Coturnix japonica: one gene and its partners. The protein of the gene in region 2 purifies or fractionates together with the protein of the main gene of each other region. This does not show direct contact. Links are inferred from orthologs where the notes say so. Each region holds a gene or a part of one and is shown on either strand. Other genes may lie near its edges. The genes, in order: NCBP1, XPO1 and NUP214.

Region 1 (10,279 bases), on a different chromosome or scaffold from region 2:
ATACAGACACACAGAGCACAAGGGCAAATCATTACAGTTAGGGAGCCATTCCAGAAAGTAAGCCAACAACAGACCGAGGATACAAGACAAAACAAAGAAACTGTGTTTCTACTCCTCCTCTTTAGGGAACACTCATGCTGGCTTGATATTTATCACAAAATTAGACAGGGACAATACAGAAATTGAAAGGATTATCAGGACAATGGTGATGAACAGATTAAAAAAAATAAATTTCTGAAAAGTTAGAGGAAAGTAATTAATACAGCCAGTATACTGTGACACTTTCTGGCTGAGTTTGAAAGTTTATGGTTTCTGCAATATGAGTTTCATATTAATATGCGATAAACTTACCAATCTTCCCAGCTCCAACGGAACTGGAAGTTGCTCAAGTGGTGAGAAAACCAGTTAATGAATCTTCATTGTAAGAAGAAGAAGAAAAAAAAAGCTTTATTAAATATTCAGAGTGCAGAAAATTCCTTCCTTTGAGAATTTCTTGTAAATACATTCTATATGCCAAAGGCAGCACAGCATTACACTTCTGTCAAAAGACTAAGTTCGGAAAATCAGAAACCAGATATTCTGGACCAAGAGAGAGTGTCATGTCCTACTGTACCATATGGATGGATACACAGAAGTTCTTGCCAGCACTATAGCGGAGTGTTTTAGAAAGAAAGGGCACAAGGCCCCAAACTTCTATTTACATTGATCATATCAAGAGCCCTCCAAAATTGTTTTGAATGGCACTAAGGATTTATAGTAAGAATTTTGGATTATTTTTTCTGTAGATTCCTTAATGCCCAGCACATAGAAAAAACAAAGAATATTTTCCATCCCTGGAAAACACATTTACCTGTCAACACAGGTTGTATTCATTGTATCCAAACGCATGTAGAGCATTTCTGTGGCTTGTGCAAGCTGAAGTTTCTTATTAAGGTTAACAAAAAAGCACTAGGATAAATCAAATGCAATTCCATTCAGTTTTGGAATAGAACTGCAAGAACTGATAGCTCCTTTGGACTATTCCAGAAGCAGGTAAATCACACTAAATTCATAGGGGGGGGATAACAGAAAGACAAGAAGCCAAAAAGCATTTTCCCATCTAACACTGTTTCTCTTCCATGGCAGTGAGATTGCTGTCTGCTACACCAAGTTAGAATTCTCTTCACGCAACAGAACTGTACAGACACAAACAGATAACAATCAAGTACTTCTGTAACCTTCCTTGTACCTTAACAGGCTGCTCTTGATACTCATGCACAAACAACCTTTGATCATAACTGAAAACTCAAGAAACTGTGTCTACGCTGGCTTTGCCCAACAAAGGCTTTGTTCTTTTACAGCATCCCTATTAACATTAAAAGCCTTCTGCACAGAGATCCCACAGTTCTAGGAACCTTTCTAGCTCTAATCACTGGCATTACGTGATTTTCAAACAATGTGTCCTTTTGGCCAAGAAGGCCAATGGTACCCTGGGGTGCATTACAACAGGTGTGGTTAATGCACTGAGGGAGGTGATCCTTCCCTTTCCTGCCCTGGTGAGGCCATGTCTGGATTTCCATGTCCAGATGCTTCCACTGAGAGCATCTGAGTAGGAACTTGTGCAGGTTCATTTTAAATGATCTGCTATGCTCACACAGATTAAGTTTATCCCTTCCTTTCCTTCTCAGCCTTCAATATGCAATCAGGCCACACGTTATGCAGTCCTAACAGGATACTAGAACAGCAACTCTTTGGAAAGTGAAAGGAGTACCAGCGTAGTGTTCAGAAATCTGAGTAGTCTTGCTCAGTCACCCAGACTAGACCGATGCTACACGGGCTGTGCTGTTCTTTCATGCAAGTATTACAAGCAAAGCCTCATATGGCAGCTGTAAAATAGATTACTGACAATATTTATTGCTATTTCTTCACCTACAGAACAAGTGGCATAAAGACTCCATTTTAAAAATGCTCTCTGGAAACAAAGGAAGGATACAACTTGTGGTAAAGAGCCAGGCTGAAGCTTGCACAGTTCAATCAGGAGCGTTGTGTACATGACCTCGATGTGTGGTGGAGAAGGAAGCTGAAACAACTCTGCAAAAATTACCTGCAGGAGAGGAAGGCATAGAATCAGAGCACAGTCAGCTTCAGATCAGCAACATCAGCCTTAAACAAGCACATACTCAAATTGGCTGTTATTATTCTGTCAAGCAAAAGGAGAAAAAGGTGATGCTTACAAAGACAGTGGTAACTCTACATCATATTAGAAGATTCTAAACCACTCTCATCGTTTTGTACTAACACAACACAGTCCCAGCATTAGACACATCTAAGAAATACATCTACATTATGCTCTATTTAGCGTTACCAAATGGTGCTGGCAAAACAAAGTGGGAATAACCTGGTTCTACTAAACAATAAACATTAAACACATTAAGCAAAGCCTAAGTATACAATATGAAAGACAACCAACATGAAAATTAGACAGTACTTTTTCACTCTATACTCTATAAGGAGATGAACTCCATCGAGAAAGCTTCTGGGTCTGATAAAGATGGAGGACTGCTATCCACTCCTGCTCTTTCAAGATGAGTTACATGAGGAAGCCACAAGGAAATGACAAAAACACGATAAGCTCCTCCCTTGGGATACAGAAATATCAGGAACACAGGTAGTGTTCTCTTCATTCTTCTTGGCTGGAGACTGTGACCCACGTGGATGCAGTGAAAGGACCATGCCAGTGACTGGCTGCAGGAATGGTATCAATCTCAGGGTTACGGGTTCTGTGATTCTGGACACACCTTCAAGAGATTGGGTAGGCTGACATTGGATGGTATGCAACTGTTGGGACAGAGCAACAATTTAATGGGCAGAAAGCTGGCTGGGCTAAGAGAACTTTAAATAAGATCTGATGGGGGAAGAGCTTGTACTTTTAAGTGACAGAGAAGAGCCAGGAAACACTGTCACTTTAGAAAGCAGCAAAGAAAAACCTCAGATCTGTCTCAGAGGGCTCTTACAAGAAGGCATCGTGGCCAACAGCCTGCCCAAAGTACCTCTACACCAATGCATGCAGCATGGAAAATAAGCAGGAGATGACACCATGGTGCAGTTAGAAACTGTGATGTAGTTGCCATTGCAGAAACATAGTGAGACAAGTCACAACACTGGAAACACTTCAGCTGAGGGCTGCAACGTTTCAGAAGACAGGCAAGGAAGGAGTGGGGAAGGAGTTGCTCTATAAGCACAGAGTGTGAACAGCTGCCTCTGGAAAACAGTCACAATCAGGTTGAGTGCTTCTGGGGACCATACCAATAAGGGACCTCTGGTGGTCAGGCTCCCTGATCAAGGAGCCCACTGATGAGGTCTTCTTGCTTTGTCTGCAAGAGATGTGTGGTCTGTCCCCATTCTGATGGGGAATTTCAACCACATGGATGTCTGCTGGAAAAGCAACATGGTGAGCCTTAAGCAATCCAGGAGACTTCTGCAGTGCTACTGAGGACAGCTTCCTTGCACCAACAGGGGATGAAGCATTACTGAACCTGGAGCTCACTGATGCAGTTGAAATCATGAAACAGGTTAAGACTGGAGGCAGCATGGGCTATAGCAACTACATCCTGTTTGAGTTTGTGATTTTAAGGAAGATGGGCCTGGCACAGATCAAAGCCGGGACCCTGACATTCAGGAGAGTGACATTTCATCTGTTTGAAGAATTACTGGATGGGATCCCCATAAAGCTGTTGTTGTGGACAAAGGAATAGTACAGAGCTGGCAGCAGTTTCAAGACAACTCTCCATCCCCAGCATAAGAAATCTACTAAGCAGAGAAGGCAGGAAACTGGAGATGATATGAGACGGCAAGCAGAGCTTCACCAAGGGCCAACCATACCTGACCAATCTGGCAGCCTTCTGTGATGGAGTGACAGCATCAGTGGACAAATGAAAGGCAAGAGATACCATCTACCTAGACTTCTGCAAGGCCTTTGACATGTTCATAAAATAGTTACAGTTGGAAAAGACTTCTAACGTGCTCAGCTCCAACCACCAATCAATCACCACCATGCCTACTAAACAACATCCATCAATGCTGCATCTACACTCTTCTTGAAAACCTCCAGGGATGGTGGCTCCACCACCTACCTGGGTAGCCTGTTCCAATGCCTCACCATCCTTTCTGAGGAAAGGTTTTGCTTAATATGCAACCTAAACCCCTTCTGGTGCAACACCACACTACATCCTTATCCCTAAACTAGAGAAATACAGATTTGAAGGGTGGTTAAATAACTGGTTGGATGCTTGCAGCCAGAGGATTGTGTTCAGCATGTAGAGGCTGGTGACTGACTGGTGATCCCCAGGGGCCCATCCTAGAACTGGTGTTCTCCAACATCTTGATCAGTGACCTAGAAAGCAGGGTTGGCACAATCAGCAGATTTGCTGATGGCACTATGCTGAGTGGTGCAGGTGATGCAGCAGAAGGAAGGGATATCATCCACAGAGACTTTACAGTGCTGAGAAGTGTGTGCATGTGAAACTAAAGCCACAGTACACAGAAGCCATTCTGTTTCAATTATGTTGTTAAGAAATGTATGGTAAAAAGGCACTGGGGAACACGTTAAGTACAGAGCTACTGCTCTCAAGACAGGAAACAACAACACTTGGATGACAGGTCATTAGCTATTTGAGATGCTGCTTTAGATGATAATTCTGATATAATTCACATGCTCATTATCAAATATTCATGTAAAGCATTTCATGCAGTACCAAATTTTGTGGAAACAACTGAGTGACAAGAAAGGTCAATACACTGAGAACCTGAACATATAAACTTTGTCTGGCCCAAGCAGTACCAAAAGCTTTACAAGTACAACAGGTAATACTAGTTTAACAGCCTAGTGACGCTGTGCAGACAATCTCTGTTCACAGCCACCAGTATTACCCACGTAAACTTTAATAAGAAAGTACTGAGGAAAAGGCAACACGTTTCAGAGTCCTGTGCATGGAGCATTCCATGCTTGAGCTGACAGACTACAACATGGAGCTTCACGGACCTCAAAACTAAGTGCATTTTGGGAAGATGCTGAGCAGCATCAGGCTACATTTAGTTCTGTCACTCTGTTACTTTCTGAACCTTATATAACACCTGTATTTGTTAGACTATGTTATTTCTGCTGTTCTGAGTTGTATTACAGAATGTATGAGAAAATTCTGCTGAACTGCTGTTGAAAGCAACAAAATACTAACCTGACTATTGAGAGAGACCTTATAAAGGAACAGTAGCAAGCAGACTGTTCAGAAGCTTGTAAAATACATGCTATGCCTTAAAGCTTCTTGAATTTCATTAAAAATTCACAGTCATAGGCAATAAAATTCTAAATAAAGTTCTAAAATTTATGCAGAAATTGCAGAAAAAAAGAGAATTCTGATGGTTACATTCATACAGTTCATACACCAATCTTGCATTCCTGTGCAGACATTTCATCTATGCAGACTTGACCATAAGTAACACAACTAAACAGCACTTTTATTATTTGTCATTTTGTTGCCAGCAGGAATTCTCAATCCCATCCTATTAAAATAAATCTCCTACAGAAGATATATTTATTGTTATAATTAACTACAAAATTCTACTTGTAGTTAGTTCTTCATAAAGCCTTAGGTGACATGAACAAGGTTTTAAACAGCCCTGCATCCTAGAAACAGACTCCTGAAGGCTGGCAGCAAGAGAAAATCTGTACTGTTTTTCTGATACATCATCTAAAATGAAAGGTGCCCTGGAAGAAGCAAACCACTGTACCATTACAAGCTCTTTTCAGGACCAGGACAACAGAGTCAATATGAAAAACAAACAAAAAACCAACACCACAGCAAAAAAAGAGCCACAAAAGAGATAACTCATAAAATACATACCTCTACTATATGATAGTTCAAGGGTATCTTGTTATTTCCAGGATAGCTCAACAGCTGAGCAGCACTGCAGAAGAACGGACACATTTAGTTCAGTGTAACACAGCAAACGTAATGTAAAGATTAACTAACAAAGTTATAGGAAATGTTTAATTCTCAGCAGGAAGTCACACAAGTCACACAAAAGTCATCAACCAAAATCCCTTCCAAAGATTGCCAATAACACAAGATCACACTAGCACATTTTTACCTCTGGCAAACTAAATTTTCCTCTTTTACTTTGTCAGAGGAGTAAGAGATTATTCCAGTGCCTGCAACAACCCCGATTCAAGAGAATAAAAAAAGAAATTGCAAGCAAATAACTTCACCAAATTCTATTAAACATTGGTTCTGACCATTTTTACACACTACACCAACTTTGGTGGCTTTCACACAGAAGTATGACACAGGCAACTAATTACCCATGGCAAACAACCTCACTTCCCACATCAGCCTTTACCAAAGCAGAAAGGAAGAAACATGGCTTGACTGGTTCCTGGCACTTCCAAATTCAAATAGCAGAAATCTTATGGCTCTGTAATGGCTGCTCAGTTACCTGAGTTCTCTCTCCCATGTAATCCCAAAAATAAAGACTGCAGTAAGGAGCAGGCAGCAAAAGCACCTTCATGAATACCAGCTATAGATAAACTAACTAAAGGTTCACTGCATCTCAACAGATCAGCTTCTCTTAAATTCCAGGAAGCATAATATGACCACACACTCCATTGGGCTTCATGGGAGCATAAAGAGGTAGGTGGGTCTGTGTCAGTTTTAGCAGCATGTTCTTCATTATCAACAAATTCCTTTCCCAAGGGGTCACAGCCACTCCAGCCCTGTGATTGGATGGATTCTTCACTATCACTACAGCCCCACAGTATTCCAAGTAACAGTTTCAATACAGATAACCATAGTGAATCAAATGCTCTAGGGAATGTTTAATCTCTAGCTCTTGTTTAACCAGTCCAGGATTCTGAATATCCCTGATGCTACCAAAGCCATGTTCTTATATAAAAAGTGCCTGGGCTCCATAGTGCAAAGCTCTTCCTACCAAGTCTTTCTCTCTTTCCAGTGGGATTTGATGATGCAGTGAAGGTTCTCTTCTATTACAAATCGTTCAACAGAATGGCTGCCAGGCATGACAGGGCCCTAGTTAGACAGAAAAAACAACAGGTGATGACTCATGAAAGATTACTGCAGTGCCACTACAGTTAGCTGTTTATAGAACAAACATGGTGAGTTCTTAACTGCCTTGTATTCTACTGGGAATGCACACTGACGACCTGTATTTAAAACAAAATGAATACGAGGATTCATTACAGAGGGAAACAAAATTAGAGAAAATAATCACAAGTTCACAGCGCACCCAGTTCTTCCTATGATCTATACAGCAATCAGGCAGTCCACTAACAGGCTGCTCAGAAGCATTCTTGAGTAAGGATATGATAAAAAAAATAGAGCAGAGAGAATAAAGTCATGATCTCACTGACTGCAAAAATCACTGGACAAAAAATGAAGGTAGTAGACCTAAAGCAAAGGGACTTACAAAGGTTCTAGGGGAAAACAGTACATACTCCTCCCCATTCCTATACAATTTTATCTATGCATCTGCTGCAGACTACTGCTGGAGGTAGTCTGTGGGGGCTAGACGGACCTTTCCCCTACTCCAACAAATCACACTTCTTTTCCCCAAAAATGTGCATCATCTTGTTTTAACAGAGAAGTAAACTGTACTTTCTAAAGACTGCAATAAATACCCAGTCAGGTAAAAGATCAAAATCTTTGTGATTGCTATTATGAGAGACATAAGAGAATTTATTCAGCACTGTAATACTGAATCCAAGCATTGGAAAAATTTCACTCCCTAAATTCTACTCCTCATCGACTTCCTTTGCACTGTAACTTTGTCATCCAGTTCATTTCTGCAGATGCACTGAAGTATAATTACTGCACATCTTCAAAGCACCAACTATTCTGGGAGAAAGGACATCATATTTTGACCTGGGTTGTACCATGACACTACCTGCAAAATCAGTTCACCCTCCCCTGCAGGGGTTACGTACCTCTGGGTCATCAGTGTAGTCAAACATCCTAAAAATTACCCTTGGCATGGGATATACTGAGTCTTCAGTGTGAGGTGGAGGAGTGAATGGTGGCAGATTGTGTTGCAAAGCCTCACAAAGAATGCTATCAAAAGCCAGGTAGGGCCTCAGAATGTGTCGTTCTTGCCAGCGGTCTTTTTTCAACTTCTGAATCTGAGACCAGAGGCAGTCTAAATACTGAAGGGAAAAAACAGTGAAAAACATCAGATGTGCTGAATCCAATAACAAAAGTTGCAGCTTATGGTGCAATCAGAAATGCATGCCTTAAATTCAGGAAAAATAAAACCCAAAAACAAAACAACAAAACAAATTTCTTAAATTACTTCTTGTGGGATCTAGTATTTATTAAATCAAGAAATAAACCAAAAACTAAACATCAGAGCTGCTCCCAATTTCACCAAATATCCTGTTAACAAAATTTAACCACTGTTCTTAAACAGCAAAAGACAGTCCAGGCAAGCATGACAGCCACCCTTTGAACACATCTGCAAGACTACAGTCATTTCAGTCAGTGCTCACAAGTGGTATTCAAAGAGATTCGGTATCTGTACTTAAAAGTGAAGAGACATTCTGGAGAACCACCATGTTCAAAAGTACCAGCTGCTGCATACTGAAGACAATTGCAATAGTACCAACAATTAAATATATTTGCTATGATTTTCAGATCAATTGGAAACCCTAACACTCTCTCAGAAATGGTACACACACTTAATTGTAATACTAGCTACATGTCTACTTTGTCCAGCTGCTTTCAATGCCCCTGCTAAAAGCAGGCTCAAGAAGTCTGGAGGCCACAGACTTTAGCAATCTGTGTGTGGCCTTACTGAATGCACGTTTTAAGGTGAAAAATCTCCACAAAGAAGTCATTTGCACCACTCTATGAAATGGAAAAAAAATACGAACAACTAGCACCTGATATGAAAAGTAACACTGAAGGTATGCTGGACATCACAAGCTCTAAAATGCTTTCTGCTAATCTCTTTTTTACTAAACTAAATGAGAAAACAGATATTGCGCAAGAACAGTACTCATGATGAAACAGTCATTATCAGAAATCCTATTTCTTCAAATTGGCATTAACAAGACAGTTGTTAAGACTGTTGAGATTTAAAAACAGGGATTTGATTTAATCAGAACAGAGAAAAATGTACAAAGGATTACTAGTCAAAAAACTCCCTGAAGATACACTTAATTTTTAATCACACTTTTCAACCAAGTTTGCCCCCAAACTTGGGGGAGGAATAAGAAGAAAAACAAAAACCAAAACCAGAGAAGGTAAACTCTACACCAAGCTACACAGATACCACCTCCACTCTGTAGTATTTTTACTTTAATTGAAGAAAGATGGCACAGAAGCTGCTGAGTACAGTTTCTGTACATTTGTTTAGTACTTCCTAGTGCTGAGAAAGCAAAGCCACTTTAAAGACTCCTTCCTAGCAAAGAGAAGACACTATGGGGCATGGAATTACACTTTGCTTTTCACAAAAGTAGCACGAAGCCTTCTATTTGCAGTTCCAAAAGCACTGCCACAGCTTACAGCCATTCTTCATTTAGTAACACCTAATACTCACCCCATAACATGCCACAACTTAGGTCTAAGATTTAGACAGGAACTCCTTACCTAGAACTTGTTTTAAATAATGACAAACAGGAGACAATTAACAGCACAAATACTTTCAGAGGTACCTCTTAATCTTCTAGCTGTCTGAATAGAAGCTGCCTGTGCTTCTACCACAACAGATTTTCAGACTTTCTCAAAGAATACAATACAGAACCCACTCACCTCTTCCTGTGGATGCGGTTTATCAGCAGTCCAGACTTGTAACATTGGAACGTGAATCTTCTGGCGGCGTCTGTTTACACAGAAAAGAAAACCTAACCCTTAACAGCATTTTTAGTACAGTCACAATAAGGAAAAAAAAAAGAAAAAACAAGTACCCTACTACTTAATCTCTTCAGTTGTTGAAGTCTAGTATGCAAAAGAAAAAAAAAAAAGAGTTTTAATTATCATCTCTGCAATCATATCCTGAGAGCAATCCTAACTTGAATCACCTAGACAAAATCTAGTCTCACTGCACAGTACTAAGGTAACCTTTCAGTATTTGCAGCAGTTACTGCTACAGCTGTCCCAGCACAAGCTGGACAAGACTGTCACCATACCCTAACAATAGACAATGCAACTAAACTTTTAAATTTTAAAAGGTAGATTACTCCATCTGTCCATTTTTACAGTGTTCTTACATTTCTCCATGCATTCTCCCCCCA
Region 2 (10,279 bases):
CATTCTATAGCAATGTAGTATGGAGTATTTTTAGTCATGGTGTTAAGTCAAAACTACACTTTCAAATAGAACCCAACTTGTTTCATGTTAGCTTTCAAGCTCAGCCTTGAGATCAGGAGAAATCAGAAAGAATGGTAACCTAGACCTCAAGGACCATTTCCTATGCCTTCAGGATACAAACCTTTAATACGATCACAGCATTTTCATCCAATAAAAGAATAAGCCGAAGAAAGAAAAATAAATGTAAACCAAGTTTATTTTGCTTTTAAGTAGTGTTCTTTAAGCACTACAGCATGGTAAACAATGTAAATTAGTATAAGTCATCTCAAAAGCCAGAGGGTTTTTTTATTTTATGAGTAGTTAAAAAGATGCAGCCTATTCTAACAGGATAAATATTTTAACCATTTCACTTCGAGTTAATGAAGGCTCACAAATGAGCAACACTCCTCATTGAGGAAAACAAAAAGCTGTTGTCGACAAAGCGACAGCACACACACAAAAACAAAAGAACTGTGTAAAAATAACTAACTGTACTGTGTTCCCATACGCTTTAGAAGTTGCTTTACAATGGGATGATATGCACATGATCTTGCTGCAAACTTGCCATACAACTTGCAAATACATGTAAGCCTAGCCTTTACCCACTCAAATCCAAAAAGCTGCTAATTGATCAGAAAAATTGCAGCACTATAATCCTCTGCTTAACAATTAATTAAAACTGTTTTACTCATTACTTTTTCTCCTAGACTGTAGAGCAGGCTAGAAGGAAAATGATCCCAAATTAAAAATTGATACTCTTACAGGAAATTGTATAGTTTTGCAATATAGTCCTTTACAATTTATGTTTTGCCTATTTTCCCCTTAGCCACAAAAATGGGCATGAAATAATTACTTTGAAAATGCAATAATTTTCAATTCATGCAATTCTAAATAAAGATGACCAAACAAAAGCTTAAACAATGGAAGGATATTTCACAGAAAATTTCTTATACAAAAAACACATAAGAAAAGAGGGCCACTAGGTGACATTTTAATTTACAAATTGGCGTCATTTTGGTCAACAAATATCCAAGTGCCGTTTTCTTCTGTCACAACAAAGTGGCTGCACAGAAAGAAAACTGCAGAACTTGTTTTTTAATCACACATCTCCTCGGGAATTTCATGTGGATTAAGGATGCCAGGTACAGACATCTGAAGTTTATGTTTCTCCTCTTGAGCTTGTCGAAGGGCTGTTTCTCTTTCCTCCAAGAATAAATCTGATGTGTCTTCACCTGCAAATTCCTGCACAATTCACACAAAACCATTACTTCACTTTAACTGCATCAGGAAGAGCAATAAGCTTCTGAAAATATCAAAAACAATGTTGGTAACATCTTCCCTTCGCATCCTTGTCAGACTATTTCTTGTTTTGCTTCCAGCATGTAAGATCAGATTCTAAGACAAAAATTTCTAAGATATTCACCATGCATCATGGTACAGTAACATTGCTTTTTGTTTGACCTTATCATTAAAACAGTCTCTTTACAGTTTTTGAAATATCTACCTAACGTAGCCTGAGAACATCTTTAACATGTACTTTCGTACAATCATCTTTAATTTTAGCATCTTTGGAAAAATAAAAGCAGAGCACTAGTCTGTCAACTTTCAAAACACACCCTAGTCCCAAGCAGAAATGAAACAAGATCTGCTTTATGGCCATTTTAGACCTGTAAGTATGACCAATGTATAAGCAACAGCATGCATTTAAACTTAACCTATACAATTAAATTACACTGAAATGGATTACATGATCCAGTATCTAGACCCTCGAGCCATGACAATTTTAAGTAGTAATAAAATGTATGCCCTATTATAAATGAACACCGTCCAAAAACTTAAAAACATCATCCTGCTACATATTTTTTACAATTCTCTAAGAAACCATGCCAAACATACCTTGATTTGGACCAGGAAATCCCTTAGGTGCTCCTTGAAGGCAGGAATATCCTGGTTTAAACTGAAGAGTCCTGTTACAAACAGCTTAACCTGGGCACTAACAGCAAATACATCCATTAGTACTTCAGTATGTAAGTATCCACTCAAAAGTATAAGACAATTACAGGACACTTACTCTTGCAGATGAGGAAATGCAGATTTGAGGAGATTAGCAACGTATTCTTGAATAAACATTTGGTTGTTCACTGGATTTCCAGGATTCAATGGAGTACTTATTTTTCCCTCTTCTACCAAGTTGAACATGTATGCAAGGATTGATGCATGCATTGTCAAACCTGAACAGATCAAAATTATACATGTTATTATTCAGAACAAGAAATGCAACATTACTATGATGTTTGAAAGGCTTGTTTTCACCTGGTTCACAATCTTACCAGCAGTGTGCGAAGTATCTGTTACAACAGAGAAGATGTGCTGAAGGATATCACAGAAATATGTCTGATAGAAACTCTGAGCAGCAGCCTCTTCTTGTGCAACATTTTGTAGCAGAGTGTAAAGTATCTGAAGTCCTGAAAAATTTGCATAAAAGAAAAATGAACCAAACTATACCAAAAGCTCCATTCATCCTTAAGTCTTTTCAAAGTGAGACAAACATCCCAAGAAATTCTGACAAGCATTGCAGTTTAAACTAATCATTCAAGCAGCCAGTAGAGGGCGGCAGCCACATTTATACTGAGCACCAACATGGTTTTCATTATTAGAAGGCAGAACCACGAAGAGCCAACCACATGATTTCACTGGTACAAAAGTGAGAAACTCTATGAAGACATACTAGTTAATTCAGGAAGGGAAAAAATCACACCAACAGTTACCTTAATACCTGAAATGCAACACAAAGGCATCTTACAAACATAAACAATTAGCTAGTATTGAGGTAGCTTCAAAACAATCATTTTTATCCTGTGGTTGAGATGCTTTCAGAATTTATGACATTTACACAGCTTTTCCTAGCCTTTCTTGGGAACTCTCATCCTAGAGGACATTTAATTACTCAGGTGTGCTAAAAATAGCTTCTCAGTGAAACCTGAGATGAAGTGTAACTTGCTGTTGTTCAAAAGGAGTTTTCCTTTAGTCTGGAGTACTTCCCTTGCTTTATGTCATAGCTGTCTCCCAGACCAAATTCACTCACCATTTTTCTGCTGTCTTTTTCAGTAGTAACTTAGAGACTGCCTAAGTGAGGGAAGAAGTTAAACACTCCAAACAGCACAATGAAAGCTGAAGCAGAAAACCAGCTATGAGCTGTTGCATCGGTTCAGCCATTTCAGAAAAAACCTCACACTCTATAAAGAGAAAGCACGCAGAAACAAATGCCCTCTTCTGTGAGTAAAAACATCCAACTATTTCAGTACGTTAATGGGTGTCTAGTTGTCAACTTGAAATTGAGATAGGAAAATACTGTTCTTCTGCAGCAAATACAGTGTGACTGGAACACTATATTTGACTAAAAATGCAAGAAAGCAGCAATCTACATGCTTAACACTTAAAACCTCAATTTACCTGTATCTGCAACATTTCTCATTGTATGCTTGAAAGCCCAAATAATAGAATCCAAAACAAGTTTGAACTGTGCAGGTGGAATGGCCAGGAATGCTGGGAAGCAATGAGAATTTACAGCCTGGAGTAGCAAGAAGAAGTTTGTTCTGTGTTCAGGATATTCTTCAAAGTCCTGAGAGTGAGGGGCACGGGGAAAGGTTTGGGGGGGGAAAGAGGGAGAAACGAAAAAAAAAGAACAGTCTGTCAAGCTTCCGGAATAGCTCAAAGATCCACTATCCACAGATCTCCTGCTAAGAAGAGCAAGTCAATATCCAATACAGAATAGCATTTAGATCTCAGATTTGAAGAAATTTACAGTTCCCAAATTCCCAGTGAAATTTTTCCCCACACTTCCACCACCAAAGCTTCATAAGAACATTTTCTAGTTACACATCAGCAGGCTGAACCACATTTTGTCAATATACAACTTCTATTATTACTACTTGGTTCCACAGACACAAGACAGTTGGCCTCAGCAATTAAGCACCTAGCTACTACAGGGATGCACTTTCTGGCCCATACTAGTGCAAAATGGCACTAATCTAGCCAGTATTATGCAAGTACCTGCAAACAGTAGCACAGAAACTCTATCAACTAAGGAATTCATCAAGGAAACATACAATGAACTAAAAAATTATGAATATGAGTAATGATAAGTATATATGAATTCAAGTCATTCACCCTACACTGAAGTCTACTCAAAGCATACTTCAGCTTCCAGAATCATGACATTTCAAGGTCTTGGAACAGAAAAAAAACTAATAATTTAATTTTAGGACTGTATTAAGAAATTAAGTCAATGAGACTAAGACATTCACCTGGACAGCCAGAATTCATGAACCTCAACCTAATTTCCATAAAACAGAAGTCATAGAATAACACTATGTCAACTACATACTGCCCCCTTTCTTGCAATACCCAAAGACTAGTACTCTCAAAATTCCCACCCCCTCCTTTTTTTTTTTCCTTTATCAAAAATTTACATATAATACCTTATTGATCATGTTTAACGTGCACTCAAAAACAGCATCAAATATCTGAGGTATTTCAGCAGTAATATGTCCACCCAGCTTGTTTACAATAATAGCCATAGTACTAAGTACTTCAGGTTCTCTAGCAGCTGGAACATTTCTCTGGTAGTCAATGAGAACTGCATCCAACAAAGGAGGAACAAAGTTTTCAGCAACCTAAAAAAAACCAGCAAGATACTGTTACAACAGTGCGGTTACTGAACAAAATCTCAAGCAATTACAAGGTAGTTCTGAAAGAAGCTAAAAATAGGTAGAGGAAATTGACCCCTCACTGCAAGAAAGACACTGAGGCCCTGGTACATGTCCAGAGAAGGGCAATGAAACTGGTGAGGGGTCTGGAAACAAGTGGTTGAGGGAGCCAGGATTGTTCAGTCTGCAGGAAGCTCAGGGGAGACACTGCCCTCTATAACTACCTGAATGGATGCTTTACTGAGCTGTGAGTCAGCCACTTCTCTTGCATAACTGGTGACAGGACTAAAGGGAATGGCCTCACGTTGCACCAGGGGGAATTCAGGCTGGATGTTAGGAAATACTGCTTTTCTGAAGTGGTCAGGAACTGGAATGGGCTGCCTAGGGAGGTGGTTGAGCCACCAACACTGGAAGCGCTCAAGAAATACTTAGATGCTCTGTTGAGGGACGTGGTTTAGTAAGAACTATTAGTGACAGGGGGACAGTTGGACTGGATGATCATACATGTCTTTTCCAACCTTGGTGATTCTGTGATGATATGTTACATAACCATATACTCCCCACCCACAGTATTCATCCAGCAGTGGTTGCCTGAGGACTGTCTTACACCTTCTTACTTTCCCTTAGCATTCCTCTCAGCTGAAACCGAAGCAATCAAAATACAGCTCAGGCCTACCATCTGTATGATCACACCTTATCCTTCCTTCATATACTGCAGTTCTGAAACTAGTTTCTGTGAACAGAACAGCACTGACAGCTCCTCAGCCAAAGAGCAGAGTTCTTCCTGATGTTGTTCTATGAATTATTTGTTTTAATATGAATTTACTTACCATCTGAGGATCATTGGACCTGCTCACCCAGCCAGAAATCAGTTTTAAAGTCTCCCTTTTCACAGTCCTCATACTTCTAATTAAGGGCTGCTTTGTTACCATTTCACCTGAAAAGTTGTAAGGCTTCACTTAATCTAGGTAAGATGTGCCAACAAGAAGACTTTAAAAATTCAGAATGTTTCATTTTTATAAAAACTACCTCCCCGTTATTTCAGTAACATAGGTCCAAGTTGCAATTTGGTATTATGACACTACTACTGACTGCCTGCACAACTCAAAAACAAAGCTGTAACTTACCTTTCCAGTAAGGGAATACTGCATGTTCATTTAACCACCTGGATCAAGCTTACCTCTGTCTCTTACTTAGTGACAAGAAGACACCAAGTTATGCAGTGTTTTAAAGCAAGCTCCTGATTTTGTCACAAACTTTATAATTCAAACTTGTCTTTACTACAAGGAGCATAATTTTTATTTCATTTTCTCACATCCAAGTCAATTAAGTCTCATCAGTAAAACCTGCCCTAATTGAGTGCATGGCCACACAATTATAACAGCATATCCAAGAGAAACCCTGGAAGACCGCGGTCAGGGAAACAAAGGTAGAACTGCTACTGCAGGCATCAGAGATAACCAGTTGTAAGAACATACTCTGAGTTAAGTGCAATCACAATAGCTCTCGCCCTAGTAAAATCTCAGGACTACAAGTCCTAGCAACTGCTTCCCATTTTGGTTGTTGTGTTTTGCTTTTGTTTTAAATAAGAACAAGTTCTGTAATAAGAGCTGCAGAGTTCAGAAATGTATTGACTTCACAGGCACTTTTATTCTGAATTCAGAGAAGCGACTTCAAGGTCAACCAGCTGTTCAGTGGTTAAGTCCAAGCATTCACTAGTATTATTATTTGCATGGGTAAGAAAATCTTTTGTAAGACAGATCCAATATAACCAATCCATTTCATCTCATCAAGAACTACTACAGCAGCACATTCTACTTAGATATCATACAACTCTAACCTATCCAGTAAAAACTGGTTAGGTACCTTAGGTCATTCTCTTGCCCCCCCCGCACAAACAACAAACAAAAAACACATGCACAGTAAGATAAGCCCAGCTGTAATGAACTTCAAACCTGATGACATGCACTGTCAATCCCATTAAGAAAAATATGAGATTTCTTACCATTAGCCTGAATAGCTGCAGAAATATTTTCACTTAGGCACTTGTACACATTCAGCATATCTAAATAAATTCTTCCAAGCTGAATCACAAAGGGGTGGCCAACTGCTTTGCATGCTCTTACATTGGTTTTCAGAATGCTACCAAGCTGCTTAACCGTTTCGGGATCCTTCAGAATATCAACATTCTGTTGAAAAAGTTTAGTTATTTCCATTTAGTCAAAAAAAAAAAAAAAAAAGCCACTTATATTCTAGTACAAAAATGGTCACTTGCAAGAATTTATCTTACACACTGCTAAGGGATTTTCTGTGAAATTCTTTACACTGGATTTAAACCACTCTTAAGTCATTCAAGTCTTCTCTTTTCAAACAACACTTTTACTGTCACATCAACCATTGCTTTATATAAGTACACCCCAGCTAACTTCACCTAATTCCAGGAGTAAAAAGAACAACAAACCCCAAAACAAACAAACAAACAACACAGAAACAAACATTCAGCTGTTTTATTTTAATTGAATACACTTAAAATTTATGGCCTTACTTTTGTTGCCTGCTGAATTATGCTGTCCCATACTTGATTGGGGAGCAACATGTATTTTTCTATCAGATGCTCCTGTACAGTCTGGTCTGTTTGTGCCCCAATCATGTATCCTACTGCTTCATAGAACGTATGCACCTGATTGGAAAAACAAGTCAAACAGAAAGGTTAAGGAAGACTACCCAGAAGTTTACCATGTTCAAAACTAGCAGGTAGTAAAAGCTGAAAATGGGTTTCCAGTGAATAAACATGTACTTCCCACTTGAGTTTACAAGATCTTTCTCCACCTTTTCCTTACTTACACCACATTTAAGGTAAGCCTCCATTCCCTTCCAATGTTACTATCTCAGAGACCTCCTTCATTTTTACCTGAAGCAATTTCAGGCATATGCTTTCTCTTATGATACAGCTCCATTTATTTCTTTTACAGAACTTTGAGCTAAATCGAGTGCAGAAAATCAGAAGTCGGAACTTAATACCTCCTCAGCCCAAGGTTTCCAAGGTTTTCACTGCAATGCATCAGCTGTGCATGCACTACACTCTGTAAGAACACATTCTCCCTGCAGGTATGCTCTTGCCACTGGACACGCAAGACCCATAAGTATGCTATCACAGTAGAATACTCTTCTTTGCTAATCAAAACCTCAAAATCAGATTTACTATTATTTACTTGTAGAAGCATTCCAGAAAAAAGAATTTCAACTCGGCACACTTTAATTCTCTTTTCAAGAATTCTAATTAAGGCCTTAATAATGTAACACAATCATACCGTCTGTAACATAACATTCACTAACACACACACACACTCACACAATATGACTAAAAAATACAATGCAAATCTTAAAAGTCTACTATCAAGTTTCGTTATGTCACAACTTTTTACTCATCTTCACAAACTTACAGTCCTGAATTATATGTACCTGTTGTGGCTGAAGGTCACAGATGATTGTATTTATATTGTTCAAGATTTCATCAATGAAAGGCATTACTTCTCCCACTTGAACCTGAACAAAATGTCGGCGGCACTTTTGTGCTATTTTAATGAAGGTATCACAAGCCATATCCTGGACACCATCATGGGTTTCTAAATCAAATGAGATCAGTTACTGTTTTGAATTTTCCCCCAGACATGCACTTGTACTCGGCATCAAGAAAGTCAGAACAGCAAGTAGAAGAGATAGTTACCATGCATAAACTCAAATAGCTTGTTGACTACTGTCTTCAAAAACTTCCAGTGAGCTCTCAAGAAACGTGGGTATTGGCCTACTATGTACATAATATTTGATGCAATAATGGCTTTGTTGTCTTTTCCTCTCTTTTGTTCACAGAGTCCTAGGAGATCCTACAATGTAACATATTATTAGTCACCTCCCCAAGTTTGTAGGTTAGAAGAGCAGTATAAAGGCTAAATTAAGCTATCATAATGATGCGGTAGAGTAAATGCTATTATTAAACTCCAAGCCAAATTGATTTAAAAAATAAAAAACAAACAAGAAGAGTTAAAGATCAGGACAATTCTAAGTTTCAGCCAAATCTAGAACAACACCTTTTCAGCCATGTGTTTTAAATGTAATTAATGACGTATACAGGGCAGACTACAGCAACCCTCAGTGTTGACTACTGACCAATCAGTTGATACAGATAAACATACAGGTATTGCACAGCAAGTAGGGGAAACTAAATCCTCTCTGCAGTATTTTTATGATGTAACAGCAATGCTTAATTACTCCTGTAGATAACATTTTCTTCCTGTACTCTTTCCACACACACATTTACTAAACATGAAGTGAAGAGTGCTATTTGGTTAAAAACAATGCACGTTACTTTGCTTCATTAAGGCTACTCTTACTTCATTAGTGCTTTTTTTCCATATCTTCTGCATTCCTAAAGCAAAATACTTCATCATAAGCCAAACTTTCCTCTCCAGAATTTTCACAGTGAAAAGGCTATTTGAATTCAAGCATTTTTCATGACTGAGGAATTTATCGACCTAACATTCAGTATATGGTATTTCCCATCAAATTATTTTCATCAATATGTTTGCTGTACAAGACAGCTTACTGAAGAATGTAGAGCAGTGTCTTTTTAAGCTCAATTTCTTGAGCATAAACTATCAAGTATGACAAAGCTGTTAGTTTTGTAACACAATACCTTAATTACTGTAACAAGGAATCTTTTTTCATCTTCTTCATGCATTGCTCCACTGATTGAGCCTATAGCCCAACACAGTGTATTCAAATTTTTCCATGACCATTCTGTCCCATTCACTTGATTATGAAGTTTCTCTGTCATTATTCGTTCTGTGTCTGCATAATCCAGATGCGTAAGATACACTGAAAGAAAATTAACAGTAAAAGTAAGCAAGATTATTTTTAAGTTAATTTCTAAGACAAAATCAAAATGCTAAGTGTAATACTTCTCTTGTGAGCTTATGATAGAACAAGCTAAGAATTTAAACCCAGATCTGCTAGAGTTGTAAAGACAAGTATATTTTCTATCAGTCAGATCAGTAAAGCTACTAAGTTAAATAATTAATAAAATGCATACATACTCATGAGCCATAGGAAATATGACATAGGCTAGCTCTGAGGTTATTATGCTGCATTTAACAAGTCAGTCAATAATTCTCCTCTGTTCATTATTTCAGTGTCATTACATCTGTTGGATTTAATAACCCGCCATTAAAATGGAGATGGTACACCTGAACCTAGTCTAAGTGAAAAGATTCAGCTTTATCAGCTCAGACCATTCCATCAGCCCCTAAAAAAACTCTCTAACATAAGTAAAATAAATAATCCCACCAAGTCAAAAAGCAGCATAAAGGTCAGATTTAGCAATGGATTTTTACAGTGCCACTTTCACTGTACTCTTGCCTTTTTAAGAGGCGAATCTTCTATTATGACAGCACACTAAGCAATAACAAACACCAAAATTCAAACTAAAGACTGTCTGACACCTGTATCTGGAAACATTACTAAGGATGAGAATA
Region 3 (10,379 bases), on a different chromosome or scaffold from region 2:
TAGTAATGATGTTGTCTTTCAGCACAGCTTCCATAACAAGGCTCCATGAAATTCACAAACTTCTCTGGTCGCTTCTCTTCCTTTTTCTGAAAGACCAGCATTAATTATTTACTGCCCAATGTAGAAATTAAGTAACATCCTGTAAATATGGCTTCATCAAGGTACAGTAAACTCAAAATCCAAATGATGGCAATATACACTGTGCCATTGTCACAAACAGAAAGAACAAGCAAGAAACTTCTCTGTAGCTGTGACTTGTTGGAAACTTACGGGCAATATTGCTACAACCACTTCAGGAGGTGTTTCCAGCGTCCCATCAGCAGCAGCATATACAATAGCAAAGACATAGGTGCCAATCCACAGCACATCCAAAACTGGAAGAGAAGGAAACAAATACCTCAGTCAGATACACACCAAAACACTTCCTTGTAGTGTGAGTTACAATGTACAATGGCATTGCTAGCAGATAAGGAATCACTAACTGCTAAACAACAAAGATGAAGAATCATTAATCTAGCATCAGTCATACTAGGAGGAATTATGTAACCAGGGTACTATGAATGTGATGTAACAAGCAGTAACAGTGGATGAATGAGTGAAAGTATTTTAAAGGAGGAAACAAGTTAAAAATAAACAAAAAGATGTACCTTTAACAGGATTGTCTGCCTGATAAAAGGGAGGATAAGGGATTACCTTCTTCTCTTGCAGATTCTGCAAATAAAAACACTCTTAAGTACTACGAAAAAAGCCCCCAAACAACTAAACTGTAAGTTTCAGAGGAACTCCAGAGAACTGTTTTATAGTGACTCACTCCCTCATTAACACTCATCACGTGCCATGGTTAACTCACTACATTTAAGTGGCAGATGCACACCTTAAACTAAACCCAGCACTGGTCTAAGACACTTTAATATTACTGAAGTGCTTGGGCATGGCTCACAACACACGCCACCCAACTCAAATTCTGTACACTGACATGCAAAAAATTGAAGCATATAGCAAACTAGTGAGTGTCTTAGTGACAACACTTACAGGCAGATACTGTACCACAGTGCCATTTTGCCTCCCTACAGCCAGTTGTTTTCCCTTCGGGCTCCAACACACTAAAGAAAAAAAGAGAACTCCATCAGCATTAAGGAAATGTAGAATTACGAGGTCCCTTAAAGCAGGGCCCATAAATTAAAACTGCATTGTTTTTCCTCTGCAAAACCCTATGGATACAAATACAATTCCTGTGAATATCATGGTCTTGTCTTCTAGGTCACAAACTGAAAAAAGAGCTGAAATTCTTAAACCTCGTACTAACTAAGCTGCAAACATGTTTCAGCTTCACTCCCGTGTGCCCCTGTGCAGCTTTATATTGCCCTATAGTGGAATATATCCAGTCACATTTCAAGCATACACTTCAGTTGACACGAGTATATCTGGACGAGTTAAAACTATAGACAGAGGCCTAAGAATTATATTAGAGTTGTCACAAAGGTGCACCAATTTTGTTAAACGTGGGAGAGAGGAATACAGTCAGTGGCAACTATCAGTGTGACTGTATTAGCAGTTTTTTTCATAGTCTTAGGGAGTATAAATCCTGATCACGATCTATTTCAATTTTTAAGAAACTTCTTCCTGCGACAGAAAGCTTGTCTTCTTACAACTCTCTTTCCACTTTTATTCTTAACCATCCAACATCCCGTATCTTACCCAAGGCTCAAACTCACCAGAGGTAACAGCTACCGACGGAGGCAATGTGGCATAGACTTTCACAGAGTCTGTGACCTGCAGGACAGAGATGCTGCCATCGGACAGACAAACAGCCACCATGGTAGGACTAGCAGGGTTCCACTTCAGGTCATTGACCATTGCTGTACTTCCCGAGTCCTTGGCCAGCTTGTGATAGGCAAACATACGCTTCTGCTGTTTTGACTTTTAGGAAAGAAAAAATGTTTGAGCTCAAAAAGCATTTATCTTAAAGTCATAATCCAAAACAGTTTTGGCCCACCTATAAATTAACAGCTGACAGAAATAAGTGGGATAATGACTTTAAACCAAAGAGGATAGATTTGGATCAGATATTAAGAGGAAATTATTTATCTAGAGGGTAGCAAGGTACTGGAACAGGTTGACGAGAAGTGTTGGACACACCTTGAAGCATTCAAGGCCAAATTGGATGGGGCCCTGAGAAGCCTGGTCTAGTATAAGGTTGGAGCTAGATAATTTTTAAGATCTCTTCCAACACCCAAACCATTCTATGATGCTAAGAAGCAGATTTTGAGTTTAATAAACAACTTCTTTACAAGATACCTCCCACAGGGGCAGAAAACACCTCTCAAGGCATGACAATACCCCAGATGTAGTCGGGGGGAGTAAAACAAAACACTGTGGGTACAGTTTACCTGATTAAAGAACGTGCGGACATCAAAAAAGCCAATGAAGGAACCAATGTCACTGGACATCATACAGACAGACAGTGTGAGATTATCACAGCTTAGTGCCAAGTGCTGCACTGGAAACTTCACAGGAACTGAGGTACCCTGGACATTCTCCACTTAAAAAGATGAAGAGGAGGAGAATGAAGTGAATGGATTTAGCAAAAATTTTTAAAGCAATAGTTAAAAACTTATGCAAAATTCACTAAAGTATTATAAATAGCAGCTGTAAGAATTGATGCAGAAAAATTCACTGAGCGAAAGCAGATCCCTTCATCTCTAGCAATACAGTCTTAGAAGTCTCAAACTTCTTAGAAAAGGAAATGACACTTTCATTCCTCAGTAACCTGGAGGATAATGAAGTGGACGCTTTCCAGGTTTTACTCGTGGTACATACACAGGGATACTTCAAGCAGTACAGTCACCAATGACAACATGAGAATGAAAACCAAGCGGTTCTTATTGCTACTGAGTTTTTATAGCATTAAATGCACTTAGGTAGTGAGGTGGCAGAACAGACATCAAGTCCTCTCTTGTAGGATAGTCCAAGTTTATTTGGGGTTAGAACCCTGCCCCTCTCTCCTATCACAAACATCTCTGATATACATGTACGTTTATGGTTAGAGACTGGTTACTAACAACATCTGCAAAGACTGCGATGTATGAACGCATCATACCAATGTTATTGGGATCTTCTCCAAGCTGATTTTGCATGAGAAGATCTCTAGTGTGAAAGATCTGCAGGCTGGTTCCTCCACCAGCGAAGACGAGGCCGTATTTGTTAGACACTACAAGGAGACTGGACCGCTCTTTGGGAAGATCATCAGGAGGATCAAAGATGCGAACCTTCTTCAGAGCTCTGAACTGAAAGTCCTGTTGGAAGAGAGTTCAAACATAGCTTTATGTATGTTGGGGAACATAAATGGTTTACTTCACTTTCTCTGAGATCAAGCTGACAAGTGTCTCCATGAGCTGCAGAGCACCCATACTGATGATATCACTGATGATATCACACCTTATGTTTGGCCTACAAAAGACTGAGATCACAGTGTTGCTGTTATTGGAAGCACTGGCTGAAGCTCTCTTGCATACAGCAGCCTGCTTTCATAAACCTTGTAGGAGCTCTCAGAAACATCCCTGAAACCAGCCAGTGGATAGGGGAGAAGAAAGAGAAAGAAACAAAAAGCTTGTTGCCTAGGAGCTACAAGGCACACAACTATTTAGCTGTATCTAGGCTACAACAACCAGCCTATCATACAAAAAACAGATACAGCTATCCCTTCCACCCACCACCAGCAATTGCTCAGTACAGACTTTGTGCATTCACTTCTCTCATCACTTACACTGTTTCTATGTAAAATCACACAGAATGACCCGGGTTGGAAGGGACCTCAAGGATCACGTAGTTCCAACCCCCTGCCTGGCAGGGCCACCAAACATACACCTTTACTAGATCAGGTTGCCCATGGCCCCGTCCAACCTGGTCTTGAACACCTCCAAGGACGGGGCATCCACAACCTCCCTGGGCAGCCTGTTCCAGGGCCTAACCACTCTCCTAGTGAAGAACTTCCCCCTAACATCCAACCTAAATCTTCCCTCTTTTAACTTAAAACCATTTCCCCGTGTCCTGCTATTGTCAGCCCTTTCCAAGAGTTTACTCCCCTCCTGGCAGTAAGTTCCCTTCATAAAAGGAGGAAAAGAAAAGCCCCCCCACACCCCTACCAACCCAATAGGCCCCAATGACCAAACACCCACCCACCCCACCCCTCAGGGCCCTCACAGCGCTCTGTAACCCTCCTCACGCCCACAGCCCGACCCACCACCCCCCCACAACCCCCCTCAGAACCGAACCCACCTTCATCTCCCGCTCGGGGACCAGGTCTCCATCCTCCCCCATGGCGGCGGGATCCCCGGGGCCCACCCTCACACCAGCGCACAATCACGGAACTCTGCGTGGAACCAAGGAGCCCCCGCGCGACGCCGCGCTTCACTTCCGCTTCCGGCGGGGACGCTCTAGGCAGCGCCTCTCTATGGTCGGTGGAGGCCGGATGTAGCGGCAGTCCTCCGGCGGCCATAGGCTGAGTTAATATTATTGCTAATTAATAAAGCCTTGATTCCTTGCACTACGCAGCTGCTTCTCCTACAGCACAGCGGCTGTCGGCATTACCGAGGCCCCATTGCAACCACTTAGGGTGGGCACTATCCATGCTTTGCCCGCAGGTGGTTGGAAGCACGTGGATATGCAAAAGCAACGACCTGAACGCAAAGAAAACATCCAAATCCACCCCCCGTCCCTCCTTGTTTTATGCTGCTGACCAAACAACAGCGTTCACACCTCGCCCAGTACAGCAGGTCCATTCCCAAAGGCAGCAGATAGTGCTGTGAGCTAATGGCAGTTGTTCCTATTGAGGAACACATACATAAACATAAATCACAGCCTGTTGTTCCCTAGGAAAGAACCGGACTCCGTGTTGATAACACAACAGATAACCTCACTCAAGCCATTGCTTCAAGAGCAGAGAGGATGCAAATGTAATCAGGAAAGAGCTGCACGCATCTGCTCTCCATAAACACCCATTAGAACAAGCACTGCCACTTGTTTTCCACCTGTTTTCTTTATAGAAAGCCAGGCTGGTTTTCAGGAGTTACCCTCTGTATTTCATAACATGAACTCGCAGGCACTGGGTCAGTTCTTAATGATAAAAATCACATCAAGGCAGTCCAAACCTATCTCCAGGATCTGATGGAGGGGGTTTATATTAACCAACATGGAAAACAGCTCAGCTAATCTGCAACCAATCTTCTGGACCAAACTTCAGAGAAACACAACTAAACACACTGACACTGTGTGGCTTCAGGAGGTTTATTTTCAGTTTTTAAAGCAGGCTGGTGCTGCTCTTACAGTTTTTCCTCTCCATTACAGTTTTGGTTTTCATGCGGACAGTAGTGAGAATGTTTTCTTCTTTAAAAGTGCAGCCTTTGGCAGGAACAATAAGCTTAGTCAAGTTAATCATCTGCGTTTTCCTTTAAAAACTATTAAACTGATTTTAAGAAGCTGCCAAGAACGTTTAAGAGTAAAGGGGGGAAAGGGCAAAGAGCAAACATCTGGATTCCAGAAGTTGTGCATAGATTTACTGCAGTAACCAGAGTGTGGGCAGCACAGCCCCTGCGCTTAGTCCACACTCACAGCCATCCTTTGTAAGCTTTAGGGTTTATACAACAGGGAAGTATTTCTGGCAGTCCCCACAGGACTGAGCTGAAACACATTCAGAGAGGTCTGCAAAGTCAAGGAGAGCAGCTGCATGAAGAAAGATCCTCATTCACAGCTGGTTTGGGAAAGCTCACAGGGCTCACAGTTTGGTCACCTTGCTTCCTTACAACTGATGCTCCAACCTCCCCCCAAAGCCTTCCTGAGGGGCTGCAAAGGCATTGTTATGTAGGCTTATTTCTACATTTGGACAGACAGACACTTGTTCAGCAATGATGTTCCTGGTCTGATCCAAGTTGTTTTATCAGAAAGGGGATCCCACAGTAGCTTTAATCATCCCCACTTGCTGGCATAGCTTGCCCCTCTGCAGATCAGCTCTCACTTTCTGCTTGCTTCTTTTGCTATGGCTGATGAACGAGTCTCATAGGCCAAGAAAAGCAGAACAAACCCAAACCAGGAAGGGGCAGGGGGAAGGGCCTAAAGCTAAAAACAGCAATGTGCCAGTGGCTTTTCCTTAGATGAAAACAGACTTTGCAGAACTTATTCCTGTAGTTGTGGCTCAGTTGGATTTATGCATCAGGGTTGCAGAGCCACCCTTGAGTTTGTCTGCATTTGGTTCACAGCATCCCATGGAGGGGTCTTGTCTTTGCCTTGTAACCAGCAATTAATACAATAGGCACAATTTCTAATCTCATTTCTAGTAGGAGCTAGCAGGACACTGTCTGCATGGTTACTCACAGAGCATGTTCCTGCTGACAGGTTAGCTCTGATCCTGTCCTAAGGCAAACTACAAAGGAAGGGCACAGAAAACTGGCCTGAGAACAGAAGGGCACAGTGGCTCTACAGCCTTTCAGGGAGGTGGGGACTTCAGGCAGTGACTTTTGCAAATCTAAACACCTTTGATAAGCACTTGGTTCAAGGTGAAGCCCAATGAATGTCCTTTAGCTGCTAAATTCAGTGAGAAGTGTTCCCTTACGACATCCCAGCCTCAGCAGCTGACAAAGGTCTTCCAGAAGTAGAGGACCCAGGCACATCAGAGACATCCCATGCTGATTGTGTAGAACTTGCTCCTGGGGCTGATGAGGACACAGATCCAGGACTAGGATCTAGACTCCAGTCAGGAAGCATAGGACAGAACAGAAGGCACTTATTTACACCCATGAAGCCGCTATCTGATAGCAAAGCTCTTCAGGAACCTGTTGTGACAAGCACAGCTCTGAATCCATCAGCTGGGTAGAAAGCTCCTTCTTAGCTGAGAAATGCAAGAAGGGCAGAGGAAAGAGTTAAGATCACTGGTTTTTTTGGGGTTTTTTTTTGTCTCACATTATACTACAGCTTCTGTCTAGAAAATCAAGTTAGCTAAGGGATGCTGCAGAAAGATGCAAGCTGGGGTTACCAGCTTCCCTTGCTGTTCCTCTAAGGCAGGTTAGTTGAAAACTAGGACTGTTCACAGTGAAGAGTAACAAAGCACAGGTAATCTCTGTTACAGACCAGCAAAGCAAACAGTGCCAATTTTCCAGCCTGTCTTCTTCAAGGGAGGCTGGCTATATCTCTCTCCGGAGGTGGACCGGAAGGTCTTGGGTTGCTTTCATTGGCTTTTCCTTCAAACATCATGACCCTGCAAAACAATAAATAATACATATTAAAAAAGCAGGTGTATCTTTACTCATCACTGAGAGTGGGATTATCATACCTTCTATGCTATGGCAATCTGATAATTACAGAGGACAGAAGCCAACAGAGGGCAGTGCTGCCAGCTCAGCCAGCAGCTTTGCTTTTCCAGTAGCTTCAGGGAGCGTGTTCCCAAAGCCTCTGCTGGTTTTCCTCTCAGAGCCCATAGGATTAGCATGTTTTATTTAGACAGCCACTTCCGAAATCCCCCTGGTGCACACTGCGTGCTGAGTGCTCCTGATGGATAACAAGAACCACCCCTGGCCCACCTTGTGCATAACCATCCAGCAGAACGTGCAAAAGCTAAATGAAGCAACGGCAATTACAGCCAGGAAAGGGGGCTGATACAAGGAGCAAGGCAGTAGCTTGAAGAATCCCAAGCATTTTGCAACAACCAGTGCTGTCTTCCTCCCAAAGGACTGCAGCTACGCTGGGAATGCCAGCTGCCAAAGTGGATCAAAGGAGTGCACTGCTCTTGGGACGAGTTTTACATTTCTGCTCCTGCTCTAAACACTGCTCAACACACAATGGGGCATCTGTTTGTTAGCGAAAGAAGGGACCCATCTGTGAAAGCTGCTGCAGTTGGGAGGAAGAATAGACGATACGGGGCTGGCTGCAGGCTCAGCCTGCTTCAATGAAGAGCAGAGCAGAGTTGTCAGAAGAGAGTGTGCACTTGGAAAAGGGGCATCCCAACATGCAGACACACACAGGGTTCTGAGTGGGAGGGAAGAGACTGCCAAAAGAATGTAGCAGCTCAGAGAGAACACACTCCAACATCTTCCTCCCAACCTGCCCAGAAAGCTGGCTGCCTTTTTAAAGCTGCTTTCAGAAAGGGGCAATGGGGCATAGAGGGAAGCGGCTCCTATTCATGGTGCTTGCAGACAAAAGCAGGATCAGCTTCTGTGGCTGAGAAAGGAAGAGGCAGGCTTCAATGGGGCGGAGATGGAGCCAAGAGAGCCCACTCTGCTACCAGAAGGAGCCAAGTAAGCGGTGGGAAGCCATTTGTTACAGCAGGACTTTGAGAGCCCTGTTGAGAGGGCAGAGGAGGCCGTGGGAGGAGAGTGCTGACAGCTGGTAGCAGAGCAAACCTCCCCCAGCACAAGCCAGCTGTCCCAAGCTGATGTCTTCTATCCACCTACAGCCCAAGTTGCAAAGAAATCAGCCAGGGAGGGACCATCCTGTGGGTTATAGGAGTCATATAGACCATCTTTTACTGCTCATGTCCTTCCTCCTCTTGCACAAGGGCCCTCCTCTCCCACTGCACCCACCCAACAGGCACAGCTCCAGCTCTGCCAGACAGCAGAGATTCTGCTTCCCATCTCCCCCAGCATCTCCCCCATCTCCTCATGGATGGCACTCACAGTTTAAGTACAGCAGAGCGTTTGCCAAGCATCACATTAACGAAGTCCTGGTAGGAGATGGTCTCGCTAACCCCTCCGGTCACCTCAGAGATCATCTTCTTCAGCTCTAGGTGGGTCTTCGGAACACCCATCTTCTCCATCATCCTTTTGACAGACATCAGATCTGCAAGAGTAAGGCATCAGTGCTATTGAAAAATAACAACACTGCACCTGGACCAACCTGGAGGCACAAGCTGGAGCTCCCAGCTAGGACTGATGGCATGAAGTTATCAGCTGAAGCAGAGAGAAGCCCTCAGTGCAGCCCCATTGCTGTATGGGCAGCAAGGAACAGCACGTCCTATTCATGCAGCTCAAGAATAAAAGAAAAACATACTGTTGCAGAAGAACAGTGCTCAAGAGGCATGTAGGGACACCACTACTGAGCTCAGAAAGCAGTGCCAAGAATCACAAGGATACAGAGGGGAGAAAGCAACACTGAGGTTAAAGCTGGAGACAAAGAGGTTCTGGGAACAAGAGCTCCTGCCCAGCACTGCAGGTCGTTTCCTTCCATTGCTCTCACCAGACCAGAGACTTGCAGCCCCTTCCCTCCTGGAAGAAAAGCACAGCAGGGCCAAGCTCCTCCAGCTCCCCAGGCTGATTTTAAGGCTTGGTGGAGGAAGGGAGCCAGGCAGGAACCTCCTGCAAGGGCTAAATGCAAGCGCTTGCCTTCAGGTGCCTGCTCCAGGCCTGGAGAAACCTGCATCTTTACTTCTGCTTTCCAGCTCTAAAGCAGGGTCCTCCCTGCCAGGCCACACATCCACTTCCCTTTCTTCCCTCCACTTCCCTCCCAGCAAACAAGTGCTTCTCCACACTACAAGTGCTTGTGGTTTGACACAGCTTCCTCCTCCAGCCAGGCAAAGCCCAGGAGAACCCACGCCCTGCATCTTCCCTGCTCTGGAGATGGCTGAGTATTGAAAAGGCCCGAGTGGAGAAACAGAATAAATCATTAAGAGTAAAGATGCTAAACACAAAGCACCAGGAGGAGATCAGCACTGAGAAAACTGAGATTCCAAAGCAGGGGCTGCAGAGCCAGGAAGCCACCAGCTGAGGTCCAGGAGCTGAGCAAGGCTCGTCCCAAGGGCAGCCTATGAGTTTCCTCCCCAGTATCACAATTAAAGGGGAGCAGCAGCCAGCAGCAGACACCCTCTCAGCAGGATGCTTCTCTTCCAGCCCAGTAACAACGTCCTTGTGTCACTCACCAATCTCGCCTTGGTTGTTCAGGTCAAACTCCATGTACTTCTCTGGAAGAGATACAAAAGCAAATTAATGGGTCAGAGCTGCTCTGGCAGGGAGACCCAGAGCAGGGGACAGCATGGCTTTGGAGCACTGCCTGCTTAGAGCAGTAAAACAGGAGGTTTGGGCACAGACTGATGCAGTTCAGTGAGGGAGACGATCTCAAGACCCAGTTTTAGCACCCTTATCTCAAGTCCAGAGACTCGTTAAGTGTCCTTTAATTGTGGCTGCTTTTGTTTGAGCTGGAAGAAAACACTGGCATGAGAACAAGGTATCAGCTAGCCATGGGTAGCCTTAAAAGGCTTCCAGCCAGAAAAAACAAAGCTTCAGGACAACCTCCCAGAAGGAGTTGCAAGAAAAGCAAAACCCTGAGCACACCCAAGACAAATCTTGATCGGATTAGGAGGGGATTAAGTGACGTGTTTCCTGCAATAGCAAGGGACA

Evidence for each region.
Region 1: the proteins of XPO1 (region 2) and NCBP1 purify together in Homo sapiens (affinity purification with western blotting; 3 studies listed by BioGRID and IntAct, with this or other methods). This does not show direct contact. The link is inferred for Coturnix japonica from reciprocal best matches to the Homo sapiens genes XPO1 and NCBP1.
Region 3: the proteins of XPO1 (region 2) and NUP214 purify together in Homo sapiens (affinity purification with western blotting; 4 studies listed by BioGRID and IntAct, with this or other methods). This does not show direct contact. The link is inferred for Coturnix japonica from reciprocal best matches to the Homo sapiens genes XPO1 and NUP214.

Annotation. Positions count from the first base shown.
Region 1 is NC_029547.1:62,565,231-62,575,509, forward strand, and holds part of NCBP1 (nuclear cap-binding protein subunit 1), read right to left. Parts: intron 9,868-10,279; coding exon 9,798-9,867; intron 8,192-9,797; coding exon 7,976-8,191; intron 7,062-7,975; coding exon 6,964-7,061; intron 5,944-6,963; coding exon 5,880-5,943; intron 2,084-5,879; coding exon 1,973-2,083; intron 916-1,972; coding exon 851-915; intron 415-850; coding exon 352-414; intron 1-351. UniProt on the Homo sapiens protein: Component of the cap-binding complex (CBC), which binds cotranscriptionally to the 5'-cap of pre-mRNAs and is involved in various processes such as pre-mRNA splicing, translation regulation, nonsense-mediated mRNA decay, RNA-mediated gene silencing (RNAi) by microRNAs (miRNAs) and mRNA export.
Region 2 is NC_029518.1:5,211,950-5,222,228, reverse strand, and holds the end of XPO1 (exportin-1), read right to left. Parts: intron 9,624-10,279; coding exon 9,442-9,623; intron 8,633-9,441; coding exon 8,476-8,632; intron 8,375-8,475; coding exon 8,211-8,374; exon of another isoform or gene 7,721-8,210; intron 7,429-7,720; coding exon 7,294-7,428; intron 6,938-7,293; coding exon 6,754-6,937; intron 5,686-6,753; coding exon 5,579-5,685; intron 4,716-5,578; coding exon 4,521-4,715; intron 3,662-4,520; coding exon 3,493-3,661; intron 2,505-3,492; coding exon 2,370-2,504; intron 2,271-2,369; coding exon 2,111-2,270; intron 2,033-2,110; coding exon 1,936-2,032; intron 1,282-1,935; coding exon 1,135-1,281; 3' UTR 168-1,134; downstream 1-167. UniProt on the Homo sapiens protein: Mediates the nuclear export of cellular proteins (cargos) bearing a leucine-rich nuclear export signal (NES) and of RNAs.
Region 3 is NC_029532.1:4,671,739-4,682,117, reverse strand, and holds the start of NUP214 (nuclear pore complex protein Nup214), read right to left. Parts: upstream 4,458-10,379; 5' UTR 4,321-4,457; coding exon 4,279-4,320; intron 3,297-4,278; coding exon 3,101-3,296; intron 2,543-3,100; coding exon 2,391-2,542; intron 1,921-2,390; coding exon 1,716-1,920; intron 1,104-1,715; coding exon 1,033-1,103; intron 712-1,032; coding exon 648-711; intron 375-647; coding exon 271-374; intron 87-270; coding exon 1-86. Other genes in the region: AIF1L (allograft inflammatory factor 1-like), read right to left, coding at 7,162-7,249, 8,664-8,826, 9,902-9,943. UniProt on the Homo sapiens protein: Part of the nuclear pore complex. Has a critical role in nucleocytoplasmic transport.